Astyanax mexicanus: one gene and its partner. Each later gene encodes a partner of the first gene's protein in a complex. Links are inferred from orthologs where the notes say so. Each region holds a gene or a part of one and is shown in the gene's direction. Other genes may lie near its edges.

Region 1 (7,557 bases):
AGAAAGCAGGGTTGACAGATCTGATTAACCCTATATTATAAAAGCTCAGAAAACTCATGTTCACAGTTTAAATGTTTTATTGTTTGTGTTTTATTTATTGCAACCCCTGTGCTTCTTATTACCACTGCTATACAAATACTTTACTGTACCATTGTACTACAATGAACCAATCTTTTTTCTTTTGTTTACATCTTAACTACTGACATTTGCAGTCTTTTGGAATTTGAAAAATTATGGTGTACAGTAAGGGAAAAACGTATTGCATGCTAATGCTATTGGATATAAGATTATTGATGTGAAGCACGACAAATAAAGATCCTATATTAGTTTAAGTTTTGGTACTTGGCGTAGCTGCTAGGGGTGTGCCATATCGTATCGTACGTGATAATATCGCAAAAAGTTTGAATATCGTGAACGATATTATACCCTGAAATATCGTGCCATATCACTCACCCCTAATTATCACAACAGAGTACTACTTTTTTGCCGTTTTTACCAAAAGAAAAATTTACACTGTTCTCATTTCCCATTATTTATCTACTAGAGACAGATCATATAACTTTAATCCTGGATATATGGAGATATTTGGAGTGCATTATTAGTATCATGACATTCTGAATCATTCTGTAACAAATCTGATAAAATTCTTTTTTTTTATATCTCAGTTAGCCATATCATATTGCATGCAGTAATAAAATTGTAAATAATTTTTCTAATTCAGTGTTTTGACATATCGCCAAAAGTATCATTATCGTGAAAATACCATGAAATATTGTGATATTATTTTAGAGCCATATCGCCCACCCTTGGTAGCTGCATTATTTTTTTCCAGGCTAAGATGTAGTGTGGTGTGTGTGTGTTCATTATAGACCCCACTCTACCTCCAGCCTTGTTATGTCACACGAGCACAGTCTGTACTGCACTAAAACATCCCTCTGCGGCTGCATGCAGGTAATACTATTTGGATTTGCTGTTATTTGCGATATTGTAGCAGTTCTTTTAATAGGTCTGTTAAAACTTATATCACAATAACAATAAATATACTATTTATTTGCAGCAAATGACCTAAAGGTTTAAGGGGGAGGTCTGACTTTATGGAATGACATTATTATTTGGGTAACCAAGCATATTTACCTACTTAATTAGCTATTTTATTGTAACCAGTTTAATCCCCTGGACCAGCATGAAGCTTCCTTATCCCTAATTGTTCAAATGTTCAATATTCTAAATGTAACATGGCCTAAAGCAAATTCTCTAATCCCCTAATGAGGAGGTCACATTCTTTTGTAATAATGTGCAATGAGTAATGGCTGAAAATATCAAGCAGGAAACATAATTTTAAGGAGTTGACAGATCCTGACATTTTATTAATCATTACTTCTATTTAAGAAATCAGTTTACTCATTTAAATAAACTGTTCCTTAAGTATACCTAAATCAATTCCATATAAAGTGAGACAATGATTTAATAAATGTAACGTTATGGAATGGATTGTTAAATTGAGAAAACTGATTCTTAAACTGAGGGAACTCCCCAGCAATAAGATTAGAGAGTATGAGGTAAAGGCAGGAGTTCCTCTACACCTTTTACATACACTGACACCAACTGTTCCAGGTTAGCTAGTTCATAAGGAAACACCACATAGGCGTACTTCCTACCAATCCTGAAAACTATGAAATTAAAATATATTTATAGAGAGATAAACAGATATATAGAGAGATAAACCAATATATAAAGAGATAAACAGTGTGTAAAGAGGTCATGTTGCAACTGTGGGGCACTGAAGCATGTACAGGAGAAGGGTGGTGCCTTGACTAATGTGTTTATTGTATTGTGTTGAGGCCAATCAGGCCACTAATACACTAATATAGTATTTGTCTGCTCTGGCAGCATTACAGCGGTTTCATACGGTGTTTAAATGTCCATATCTCTGAGAGTCAGGCCTGCCGGGCAGAGATAAAGGCGGCATGGATGTGGCAGGGCCTGAGTTAAAGACATGCTCAAAACAGAGGCAGTGTTTTCTTCACTTCCTTTATAGAGACCACAAGAGCTCACGCTCAAAAAAAAAAAAAAAACACATTTAAACAGAGATAAAGCTCTTAAAGATGTGCAAGTTTTTAGACTGGATAAAAAGCTGCATAGCTTATTAAAACAAAACAAAAAATCCATAACAAACAAAAATATTATTATTATTATTATTATTACAACTCTACACTTAAAAAGCTCTAGTCTAAACAATAACTAGCTTAACAAACAAACATAAGATTAGCTTCAGAAAACTCATGTTAATAGATAAAAGGACCAAAACACGCCAATAAATAAGCCTATATTTACTATATCCAGCTCAGAAAGCAAAAAAACACTATGTTAGTTTAGGTTAGGTTAGCTGCAGCATTACTTTCAGAGCAGCTAATCAGCACGCTCTCACTGAAAACACGCTAAACCAGACTCCCTGTCCACAAACTTCCCATAAAAACACGGACACTGTTAGATAAACTGCTTACCTGCCTTTCCTCGGAGCACTTCGGTGAATTAAAGGCGTTTTTGTATAGAAATGTTCAGCGCTGGTTCATGCCCCCATCTGTACTGAGGGCAGAGGACCTTCCTAAAGATTTGCTACCATCAGAAACAACGCTGAACCCACCTGTTTTCAGGCACGCCCCGCCCTCCCACACCCGTATTCAGGCACGCCCCGCCCTCCCACACCCGTATTCAGGCACGCCCCGCCCTTCGACCACTGCATTTAGGCACGCCCCGCCCTCCAACAACCGCATTCCGATACACCCCGCCCCCTATTCCGTGATTGGCTGGTAGATGAAATGGGCTGTGACACATGTTTCCTTTATTTTCATGTCTGTTCAAAACTTAAAAACTTCAGACCCATATCCACTAATATAAACATTACATCAAATTATGTTAATTATAATGAAGATACAGTTATTTGAATAGTATGTTACTACTACGTAAATAGAAGAAATTATAGTTAAATAAGACCAATAACCTTAATAACTATTAATCCTATAAGACATACAAGGGAGACGTGCCCCAGTGTAAAGGCAATCCATCACTGTGTAAATCCATCCATTCCATCCTGAATTCACACGATGAGCGTTAAATATTGATATAGATATAAATATAGATATTGTATAGCATCACACAATATAGAACAAAACAGTATGTAATGAAAAAAAAATATGAAATGATTAATTACCTAAACCTAAATTAATACAACTACAAAAAGAAAATTTTCATATAAATAATTTTTCTAAGACATATTTTTGAGACAATATGAGGAATATTCAGTGAAATTATTATTCATTTTATGAACGTGCAGCAGAAAGAGTTTCTTCTTACTGAAAATAAAATAGTATAAAGGTTATGATGTCAAAGGGCTTTTTCTTAAAAGGGCGGAATACATTTCAATAGCTTTATATGTGATATATACTAAAGTAATTTACAGTGTATTATAGAATTGTATAGTACAGAATACAATGAAATAGTAATATCGTAAGATTTTTTTTTAGAATAGAATAACATAAAAAGTTATAAATTTAATTAAATAGTATAGTTGTTATAGAATAGTACTGAATAAAATATTATAGATTAGTAATCTGCTCTCAGTTCTATACTTTATTCAGTGCTACATCTGAGTAAAATCGTTAAAATGCTACCTCCTTCTGGCTTCAATACGCCAATGCACATATTATGCGAATTTACTGCAGCGATGCAACAGAATTTTATTAATGTAATAGTAACAGAATGTACTACGTCATTTTAAAAAAATACTACATTAATGTCACTGTAGAATAAACTAACATTTACTATAATTAAAACTACTAACTTAAATGAACTATGGCACCGTAGAATTTACTTAAATGTACTACAGCACTGTGGAGAATTTACTAAAATATACTATCGCACTGTAGAACTTACTAAAAATGTACTACTGTGCTGTAGAATTTACTATAATGTACTATAGCACTGTAGAAGTTACTAAAATGTACTGTTGCACTGTAGAACTTACTAAAATGTACTATGGTACTGTATCATTTAATAAAATTTACCATGGCACTGCAGAATTTACTAAAATCTAATGTAGCACTGCATAATTTACTAAAATATCACTGAATAATTTACTAAAATATAATGTAGCACTGCAGAACTTACTATAAATTACTACTGTAGAATTTACTAATATATACTATGCCACGGTGAATGTATTAAAATGTACTATGGTTGTGTATAATTGAATGAAATTTTGCTACAAAGGCACTGAATAAATGATCACACTTTTCTATGACCCTGTATAATGTTCTGCTCTTGTTCTTGTGTGTTCAGCGTGTTTACACTGGGCTACTGTATGAGTGGGAACGCATGTGCACAGTTTTAAAATCCTGCTGTCCTGTTCCGGTGGGACACAGCTCTGTAGAGCGGATGCGCTGATCTATAAACACTCCGAACCACAAACTCTGAGGTGTACATGAGATATAGATCAACGCTTCTGCGCAGTGGCCCGCCGGCCTTTATTCAAGCACGCATGCGCAGTGCCTGCTGCGTCGAGTCTGCGCGGCGGTGCTGTTGAACGCGGTTGTGTGAAAATGTCTAGCGACGGACCCCCGGGAGCCGAGACCAGCCCGGAGCTGGGCGCCTCCGCCGCGGCGCTCAACACATGGAGCCACGCTGAGCTACAGGCCAAGCTGGCGGAGATCGGGGCGCCGGTAATGGGTGAGTTAACCCGGGGAGAGGCGTCTGCAGCGGGCCGGGGGAGACAGCTAAACTAAACTAAGCTAAGCTAATTAGCACGCATGCTAATCTGGAAGCTAAGCTAACTGCTTCTGATGCCGGTTGTTTGAAACAGTAACTTAGTTATTAGCTTGGTGTTTAGTGTTTATTGTGGGTCATTGCTGCGAGCGGGTTCTCATGATGTGTGTAAAGATATTAAGGCTGTTTAATCGAGTTTATTAGCACGTTAAACTGATTTAAAACGAGTAAAGTTGCGTGTAGCTGCGCCATGTTGGTTCTGTAGCTATCAATGAACTGGGAAACTAGTTAGCTAGCTAACTGTTAGCTGTTGTGGTAAATGTTGTGTCCTAAGTAAAACGCACACAACCCAAGCCCGTCATATTGCTAAACCTCTTATTTCATGACTACTTTCTTATTCTTGTGTATAAATGTCAGACATGTGTTTATCAATACAAGTCAGTTGGTCTATGTGTCAATACTGCATACAGCTCTGGAAAATCAGACAATTTGAAAATGATGATTTTCTTTGATTTTACTAAATTGAAAGCCCCTGGAATATAAGGAAGGAAAATGGGTAATCATAAGCCATCAAACCAAGCTGAACTGATTGATTTTTTGCACCAGGAGTGGCAAAAAATTACCCAAAAGCAGTGTGTAAGACTGGTGGAGGAGATCCTGCCACAGAGCTAATAAATATATTCATGTAATCTTCAATAAATGTGTTTTTATCTTATCAGCTACACTAAGCATAAAGGTGCAATATGTACACTAATAATTACATAGTAGAGTCCTGTATCTGTTTCTCTGTAGACTTCACTGTCTTCCTTTTACCCTGTTTATTCAAATGGTCAGGACTCCACAGGTCTGCTACAATTGGTCCGAAACAGCAGTGCTGCTGACGTTTTTAAACACTGTTCAGTCTATTAGGAACTCCTACCTAGTTCTTCCACCTTGTAGACGTAAAATCAGAGACGGAGGCTCTAAATCTGTTGATGCACTGTTAGGTCATCCTTGAGTCCTTCATCAGTGTCCACATGGTGCTGTTGATTGGATATTTGATATGGATATTTGTCTAGTCCAGCAGAGACTCCTTATGTTGTTTAAAATCTCCAGCAAATCACTAAAATTAGAATGCATACAAATCATTTTACGAAAAATAGTTTAAGTGTGTCATCTGTTCTGTTGTGATCTGGAGTTTTTAGAGTAGAAGCTCTCTTACTACTGAGAGATAAGTTTAAATAATGAGCTTAGTTACCAAAAAAAAATACACAGAATATAACTGTAAATCAATAAAATACAGAAAGTAGAAAGTACAATGTGAACATGTAATGTTAGAGGTAAGCTTGATGTTTTGCGAAATGCTAAATGTACAATAGAGTGAAGTACAATGTAAAGTTGTGCAATTAGAGAAGTCACAATTATTATTCACATTTGTTGAATTTCCTGTGTGTAATGTATGCATATGAGAGTAATGCATGGCAAACAAAACAGTGCAGTTGTTTAATACAGTATTTTCTGTTTATTCTTTTTTCTCAGGCCCTAGAGAAGAGTTAATAGACAGGTTGAAAAATTACATGATGCAGGTAAGAGACTTGTAAAGTAAATAATTTGGTTTCACTGTTTGTACCTTTTTTTTTCCACTGTTATTTTGAGCTTGAGTGTTGTGATGAAGTAGGCTATACCCCTCTTCATCACCATAAAGACTATATCACTTACCTGTGTACACTCATGCTCAGCCTGTTGAGACAAAAGGGTACTACACGTAACTCAAAACCTTTTACTTACCTGGGTGAGTCCATCCTTGCAGAAGAGAGGGGGAGTGTGTACCTGTAAAAGAAAGGGAAGAAATGTGAATGTGTATTTTATATGTACATTGAAACTCGTACAGATTTCAGCACTTACAAACTGATTAGAGTTTGCTACTATTATTATTATTATTATTATTAATATTGTTGTTCTTATTATATCATAGTACCATGTACTTGGTGTATCATTACCCGGTTCTACCCGTGTGAGAAATGGTATGTTCATGGGAGGGGTTAATGGTATAAAAGGTGTACTGGATCTATGAGTAAGGGGGGGGCAGATAGTTCGGGATATCAGCCATGAAAAGAAGCTCTATACGACTGTATAGGAGATAGACCTTATTCTCTGCGTGAAGAGATTATTTTGTGTTTGTTTACTTTTCGTTTTCTTTTCTCGTCAAGTACGTACGCCTGTAAATTTGTAAATATTAGTGTTGGTGTGTAAATAAACGGTGTCGGATAAACTGTACCTCCTTGTTGCCATGGTTACTGGCCCTGCTTCTGAGCGCTCGCCCTACACTACCCATAAAGTTTCGTTCTGTCCTTGCTGGATATGAATGCGCTTTATCACAAGTGTTTTTTTCCCCTCAGACTGGAATCATGTTGAATAAGCCCAACATACCTGGTGGAGATGACAAAGGCATGCCCACGGTAAGCCCTCTTATTTATTATGTTTATATCATCATGTGATGTGAATTATGGAAAATAAATTAAATGTAGAGGTAGACACTCAGTTTTCACAGTTTCAGATCCAGTTTTCACCCAGAACCAGAGACCCTGAATCTTTTTACTAAAATAAAGCTTGAGAGGATTTAAACAAAACATTTATTATATATACATTAATTGTACAGTTATTAAGCAATTTTTTTTACAAAAAATGATTAGGAGGTCATTTCAGCCCTGCTGAATACCTGAGATCTAAGTTTTCTGGTCTTTTGATCTTATGATTTTTGCTCATGTCAGTGAATTAACGTCTTCCTTCTCTCACCTTATAGATTCCAGGTCTGCC
Region 2 (7,208 bases), on another chromosome or scaffold:
GTGAGATCCAGTAATTTTGTACTTTTTGCCCAGCACTCTGTACAACGGCCTTATAGGGGCATATTTTACACCGTTATCCAGTCTCAATGTAGCTCCACACCTCCTTAGTAGAATCTGGAGAGCTCTGACTTTAAATTGAGGCATTAAAAACTTTAAAAGTGCACAAGAAGCTTATTAAAAAATACTGTTTACATCTCATAGTGCAGGTAAATCTCTGGGCGCCACCATCTTTGTACTGATAATGTCATAGACATATATACATAGATCTCGCATAGCCTGCCTCCTGTTGTAGCAGTTTCTTATAACTTAATGTCCTTAATGCCTCGTTTTAAATGTTAGGGCTCTCCAGATTCTATCAATGAGGTGTGGAGCTACTTTGAGCCTGGATAACGGTGAAAAAAAGTGATTTATTGGGGCAAAATATGCCAGGTACGGCCGTTTTACAGAGTGCTGGGCAAAAAGTAAAAAATTACTGGATCTTAAAAAGCTGTAGGAGAGCGGTGGTGGGCTATTCAACAAAGGTAAGAACTTTTTATCATGTTTTACTACAACAAAAGTCCATTTTACACCAGAGTTCTCCTTTAAATACCCTCCCACTTCAAGCACTGGCCGCATCCCAGCAGCGTACAGAACAGTGAACTGGTGCTCGAGTCAATCACGAAAACCAAATCAATGACACTTTGCTACACAACCTCATCTTCTTATCTGAAGTCTTTGTTTTTTGTTTTTTTTTTGGCCTTCTTTGTTGCTCGCTGCCAATACCGTATCAGTAATGTTCTCTCACTGACTCTTACTGGCTGGAGTGGAAGCATACTGGGGGCGCTGGGATACCGTGTATTCCTGTCCTGTTTGTTGTATCAGCAGCTGCTGCTTATATGTTCATCGGTTACACCCAGAGAGCAGAGCTGCACTGAATCACAGGTAAAGTGCAGCACGGCTCGGAGCTCAGCGCAGGAAGAGTCAGCTGTTCTGAAGGAGGCACAAACCAAATGTGAGACTATAGTAATACAGCAATAAATAAAACAAACTAACATTCATCAGTCTGTCTGTGTCGTCCTTATCATCATCACCATCATCATTATCCTCAATTTTCTTCTTACTTCCCAAATATTAAGAAAATATCACATTTTCTACTTTAATTTTTTACAATCATAGATCATTTGTGCAGTTCTAAACCATTTTATTTCTATGGAGTCAGACTCTACCTCTTTTATGATGCAGTATTGCCGAGTAGCATCACAGTGCACTCGGAGGAAAGCGCAGCGACTCGGTTCTGATACATCAGCTCACAGATGCTGCCTTGTGCTGATCGACATCACCCTAGGAGTGATGAGGGAAAAGAGCTCCATCTACTGTACCCACCCAGAGAGAGAGCAAGGCCAATTGAGCTCTTGGAGATCCAGCAGCTGATGGCAAGCTGAATGACCAGGATTCGAACCAGTTAAAACCTGTACTTTAGTGAAATTTGCTAGCAAAACATTAATTTATGTTGCTCAGACAAATTAATTATTATTACTGAGCTGATGAACCTTTTGTGTGTCAAAATAAGACTTTAAAACATTACTTTAGTTGTGTATAAGTTAAATATCTTGCTATTTGTTTTGTTTTACTCCTAAAAAATGAATGTGATGTTAAATCTATACTTTAATCACTCTTTTATTGTTCTTAATATTCAGTTGGACAGCTCACACAAATATACTTAAATTATATTAAACAGTGGTGAAAATAACATATAGTATCAATAATATACTAAGTATGAATTTAGTGCAAATCTATCTAATTTTAATTACAAATAAGTAGTAATTAAGTACGAATTAGTGGTTCCAAAATAACATAATTTAAGGCCTATTTTAGCATAATTTAAATGTAATTTTTTCACAAAGGAATAGACAAATAAATAAATTCAAATTCACTTACTTAAATTCATTGTAAAGAATACATTGTCCTCTTGTGTAGCCTCTTTTTCCTCTTGTGCGACAGGACAAGTGTCACACCAATGGACATTGCTGGAAAAAATATAGAGTACCATACACTGACCATTCTGCATTTTTAAGGATTTTTTTTTCTATTATTTTTGCTTTCTGGGTCTTTTTGTACTTTATATTATACACATTTTCTTCACAAATGATGAATTTAAGAAAATTAATTTCATGAAAAAGGAATAAAAGTGACGAACAAATAAACAAATGTTATTTCATTATTTAAAATCATAAAACAACGTGTCCTCTTGTGTAATATCTTTGTTTTGGTGTGATAGCGTAATTGTCACACCTGTGGACCTTTTTAGTGTCTCACTAAAGTACATTTCGGTCTTCAGTGTCATTTAATGACCCAGCTATTGATACAGAACCTGTCATTAGCTGTTAGTAGAATATATCTGTATTGTTGTTCACTGTTTAATAGTGTAGTTTAATGCACATTTATAATTTAAGGGTGCCGCACTAGTGGACAAAAATAATGGAACACTCTCAGAGAGGAGGGAACGAAGAGTCACTTGATCGTAAACCAAAAAAATGTGAGAAAAAGTACAACAAATATAATATTCATGCATCTGCCAGTGTCATCATCCTCATCATCACCATCATACTATCCGAATATGGTCTTATAATTGTAGCAGTATATTTAATAAACAGAAGGATCAACTTCTCTCTCAATACTGGATTATCTGAAGGTAAGTCCATAGCTGACAAAGCAGCACTGAACACCTATATTGAATATCGTCACTGTCCAATGAAAAACAAGTTTCCCCAAAACATCATCTTTACAGAAGAGAGAAAAAACCTTCTTAACTCAATGGAGGTCAATGTAAAAATACTTTATTTCAAATCATTTTTAAGTATTTCTATTTGTCCATTTATCAAGACATTTTGGCACATTGTAAGGGAATGTTTGTGTGTTAAAACTATGTGGTAAACTAAAATCAACAAAAATAAAGATACTTGTTTTTCATTGGACAGCGACGATATTAATATTATCCCTTTATTAGCAGAATATCATTACCATTAGACAGATGCCACTCATGGGGCCTTCCACATGAATCCAGCCATGTGCAAAGGTTTGACTTTGGATGTGATCAAGATTTGATCCAGTATCTTCTAAATAAGATTAATCAATAAGATTAATCAATAAGATTAATCCAGAATAATCAAGCATCAAGTGCTACTAGTGAAGCCTTTGTTTTTGGAGCACGTGTCTACTAACTTTTAGACATGGGGTGAATTTATCTATGAATCTTTGCTGATGAATTAATAAATCAATGATTTAAAGGCAAAAGGCCTGTTGGACATGTGGGCCAATAGAAATGCAGAGGCAGGGAGTGTGAATTTTGTCCACAGTGTAATAGCGCCACCTGCTGGATGGATAACTCAACATCATATGAACTACAAACATTTTTAAATTAATATTTTTTTTTCTGTTTTTTGGTGATAGGAAGATTTTTTTTTGTTTAAAGAAAAATTCAAAATGTGCTCCTGCATATCTTTAGGTCTTCAATATTAAATTTATAATAATGAAAAACACACAGTGAATGAGAAGACAATAAAACGTCTGACTGGCACTGTTTATGAACTATTTTTTATATAATAGTAAAGCAGTATTGGAACAGATGGTTTTACTGCACTCTTTAATGCAGCATTTACACACTTTACACACAGCACATTCACAATATATATAGTTATTATTATTTTAATAGAATCAATTGTACTCTAATATTAGTAATAACGATAATCCAGAACAGTGAACAATGATATATATATATATATATATATATATATATATATATATATATATATATATATATATATATATATATATATATATATATATGGGGGTGGACTGGGCAAACCAGAGAAACACCTTCTGAAATGTGTAAAAATGAAGTAAAAATGGCTAAATAAAATAAAATATAAATATTATTTGGATGGCAAACATGAGCTTATAATAATAGTATTTATTATTATTATTATTATTATTATTATTATTATTATTATTATTATTATTATTGTTATTACTTACTTTTTTATTTAATTATTGACTTTTTATTGTTATATTATTATTTATTTCCAAAGGACCCTAAAAGAACACAAAAAGGTAGTGGGACACAAAAAGCGCCTTCCTGTGTTTAACCCGGACTAATGTTACTGTAGTACAGCGCTTAGCCCGGACCCGTAGCTATAGCAGTTAGCTAGGTTAGCTAAGCTAATAGCGCTGTAACTGTGTGTTTTTAGGTGTAAATTATCGGTGTATTCTCTTTGGGAGCTGTTTACACATTAAACAACAATGGGGAAGCGGCAGCACCAAAAGGACAAGATGTAAGTCTGCATTAATCCGGATTAAATCCGTTTTATTCATCGAATTAAACTAGCTGCGCTGGTTCAGCCTAACAGCTAACTGGGTTAATCTGAACTCTTAAAACTCTATAAATATCAGGATTCAGTTTAATATTTAATAAAACAGCTGAAACTTAGTTAAAATATGTATATAACCATGTTTCTCTTTTCCTAGGATAGTACTGTATCTGTTTTCTCTCAATTTAACGTTACTCTGCATCATTTATAATAATTTAACGTTAGATAAACATCATTAAATAAACTGTTTTAGTAAATATTAAATCAGACAATAGGCTTGATATTTAATTCATATTTTGTCAAATTTGTTTATATGCTTGTTTGTTTATATTTGCTATTTATTTTTAATGGTATTATTATTGTTATTATTTGTATTATTTAAAATATATATTATTTAATATTTTGTTTTAGCGTCACTTTAGTTTCTTTTCTTTTTCATTTGGCTTCTTTAAAAAACAGAATGTATCTTTTCAACCTAACTTTTTCTTTGAGTACATTAGCTGTGTATTTGTTGTTGTTGCGTTTAGTTTGTTTGTTTGTTATTTTTCTTGTCAATCCCTGTTAATCTATTTGCTCGGCAGCTAAAAACGAGGGTCACCCTCAGTGTAAAATAGATGTTGATTAATTGATAAATATGATGGATTGATTGACACAGCTGTTTAAGCAAGATGTTATTTATTTTGAAAAAAGCTAAAATATTAATAAAGTCAACAAATTGAGTGGACAATACTAAGTTAATCAGAGATTATTGAGATTATGCCTGTTTAGTGGACAATAAACAACGACCTTCCTGATTTTATGTGTAAGAATTAGATTTTTAATATGTCAGTGTTAAGCTTTAACTAATCAAATTACAGTCTAAATCTCAAAGTTTATTTGTTATAAATGGTACATATGACTTTCTGCTCACTCATGAAGAGTGGTGAATAGTGCTGCTCATTTTATTCCTACTATTCCTATTTTTCAGGTACATCACCTGTGCAGAGTACACACATTTCTATGGAGGCAAGAAAGCAGGTGTGTATTTTTGGAGCATGGCAATACATTCTTTTCCTTTTTACTTTTTTTTTTTTATTATTAACACTTAGTGCGATCTTTCTTTTATCTGCAGAAATCCCACAGGCTAATTTCAGACGATTACCCTTTGATCACTGCAGGTGAGTTGTACAGATAGGTGTGTCTGTGTTTGTGTGTGTGTTTCATTTATTGCTACTTTTGATATCAGACTTCTTAACAATTACAGATCTTTTATTAAAAGTTACAGTCCTTTTATTAACAATTACAGTCATTTATTGCTGAATAGCTTTTGGCTGAATAGCTTTTGGATGCACATGGCTACCGGATCAGCAGAATCTAGTAGAGGACATTTCAGTAAATTATTCAGAGGCAGCCAGCCGTCGCTTTTCACTCCAGTAGCCTGACCTTAAGCACTATTCCTCGATTCTATATAAACTAACCCCACTATACAAATACAAAATATGCCTGTATATAAATTTGCATTTTAAATTTTGCATTGACATGTCTATTAGTAATAAAGCTTTGCAAATGTCTTTGCACTAGGAATTAACACGTTTTAGGGGAAGATCTGTATTAGAACAAAATAATTTATATTATATTACTTTATGCTATATTTGATATCTTTTCATCCTGTGGGGTCTAAATCAGGATATATATATTGTTTCCTGTTCTCACTTGTGTTTGGGTCTTTGTGTTCTTTCAGTTTGTCTCTTCAGCCCTTTGAGTATCCCATGTGCACCCCTGAAGGCGTGGTCTTTGACCTCATGTAAGTACAAGTACACTAATATCACAATCCCAGTATCAGTCCTCTGGTCACATATACTGGTGATCACCTGAGGGGTTAATAGTAGGGATGCACAATGATATTGGAATTTTATCGCTATCGGCTGATTATCTCTTAGAATCATTGGCATCAGACAATTTGGACGATATTTCAAACAATACTTGCTGATGTATTTGTTGTATGGCAAAAAAGGACCAAGTGTCACTAGCTGCACTACTAGCACTAGCTAGTTTGCATTTATTTGTATTAGTTTTAAAGTTATAAAGTGATACTGGTGTATGTTGTCTTTCTGTAGTTTAGAAATGTGTACCTTGACATCGACAAATATATATATAAATATATATATATATATATATATATATATATATATATATATATATATATAAATATAAATATATATATATATATATATATATATATATATATATATATATATAAATGTGTAATTTCATATATTTGCATTAGCGTAGAATTTCCCACATTGGTACATCCCTAATTAGTGTAATTACTGATTTGGTTCATGTAGGTTGATTTTATTTGTGCAATAGAAACATTATGGATTTTAACATATTCTTATGTATTTAAATCTGTATTTGAAGGTTTTATTATTTTCTCTGAGCAAAGATTTTAATCTTAGGACAAATTTAATACAAATGCTGTTTGATGCTGTTTTAGCTGAAAGGTTCTTTGATGGTTTAAATGGTTCTACACCATATCTTTGTGTGTAGAGCAGGGGTCACCAACATGGTGCCCGCGGGCACCAGGTAGCCCGCAAGGACCTTATGAGTAGCCCGCAGGCCTGGTCTAAAAATAGCATTTTTGTTGCTATTCTTTTTTTTTTAAATCACAGTTGCATTGATGTAATTTTAGATTATATTACATTAATATTAGCTTAGAGCCTATAGTTTATATATTATTATACAATATAATGTAATATAATATGTAATATTATATTAAAATATAATATAAAATGTAAACACTTGCAGAGATTTATAATAATAGTGTTGCCTATTGATATCTGTGTCTTCACATAGATGAATGTCATTAATTATTAATAATAA

What was found.
Region 2: sf3b2 (region 1) and ppil2 share a complex: the UniProt entries of both Homo sapiens proteins name them as parts of the minor spliceosome. The link is inferred for Astyanax mexicanus from reciprocal best matches to the Homo sapiens genes SF3B2 and PPIL2.

Annotation. Positions count from the first base shown.
Region 1 is NC_064415.1:13,364,260-13,371,816, forward strand, and holds the start of sf3b2 (splicing factor 3B subunit 2), read left to right. Parts: upstream 1-4,544; 5' UTR 4,545-4,598; coding exon 4,599-4,725; intron 4,726-6,279; coding exon 6,280-6,326; intron 6,327-7,139; coding exon 7,140-7,199; intron 7,200-7,543; coding exon 7,544-7,557. UniProt on the Homo sapiens protein: Component of the 17S U2 SnRNP complex of the spliceosome, a large ribonucleoprotein complex that removes introns from transcribed pre-mRNAs.
Region 2 is NC_064429.1:31,212,601-31,219,808, reverse strand, and holds the start of ppil2 (RING-type E3 ubiquitin-protein ligase PPIL2), read left to right. Parts: upstream 1-4,130; 5' UTR 4,131-4,278; coding exon 4,279-4,310; intron 4,311-5,313; coding exon 5,314-5,363; intron 5,364-5,457; coding exon 5,458-5,503; intron 5,504-6,066; coding exon 6,067-6,129; intron 6,130-7,208. UniProt on the Homo sapiens protein: Has a ubiquitin-protein ligase activity acting as an E3 ubiquitin protein ligase or as an ubiquitin-ubiquitin ligase promoting elongation of ubiquitin chains on substrates.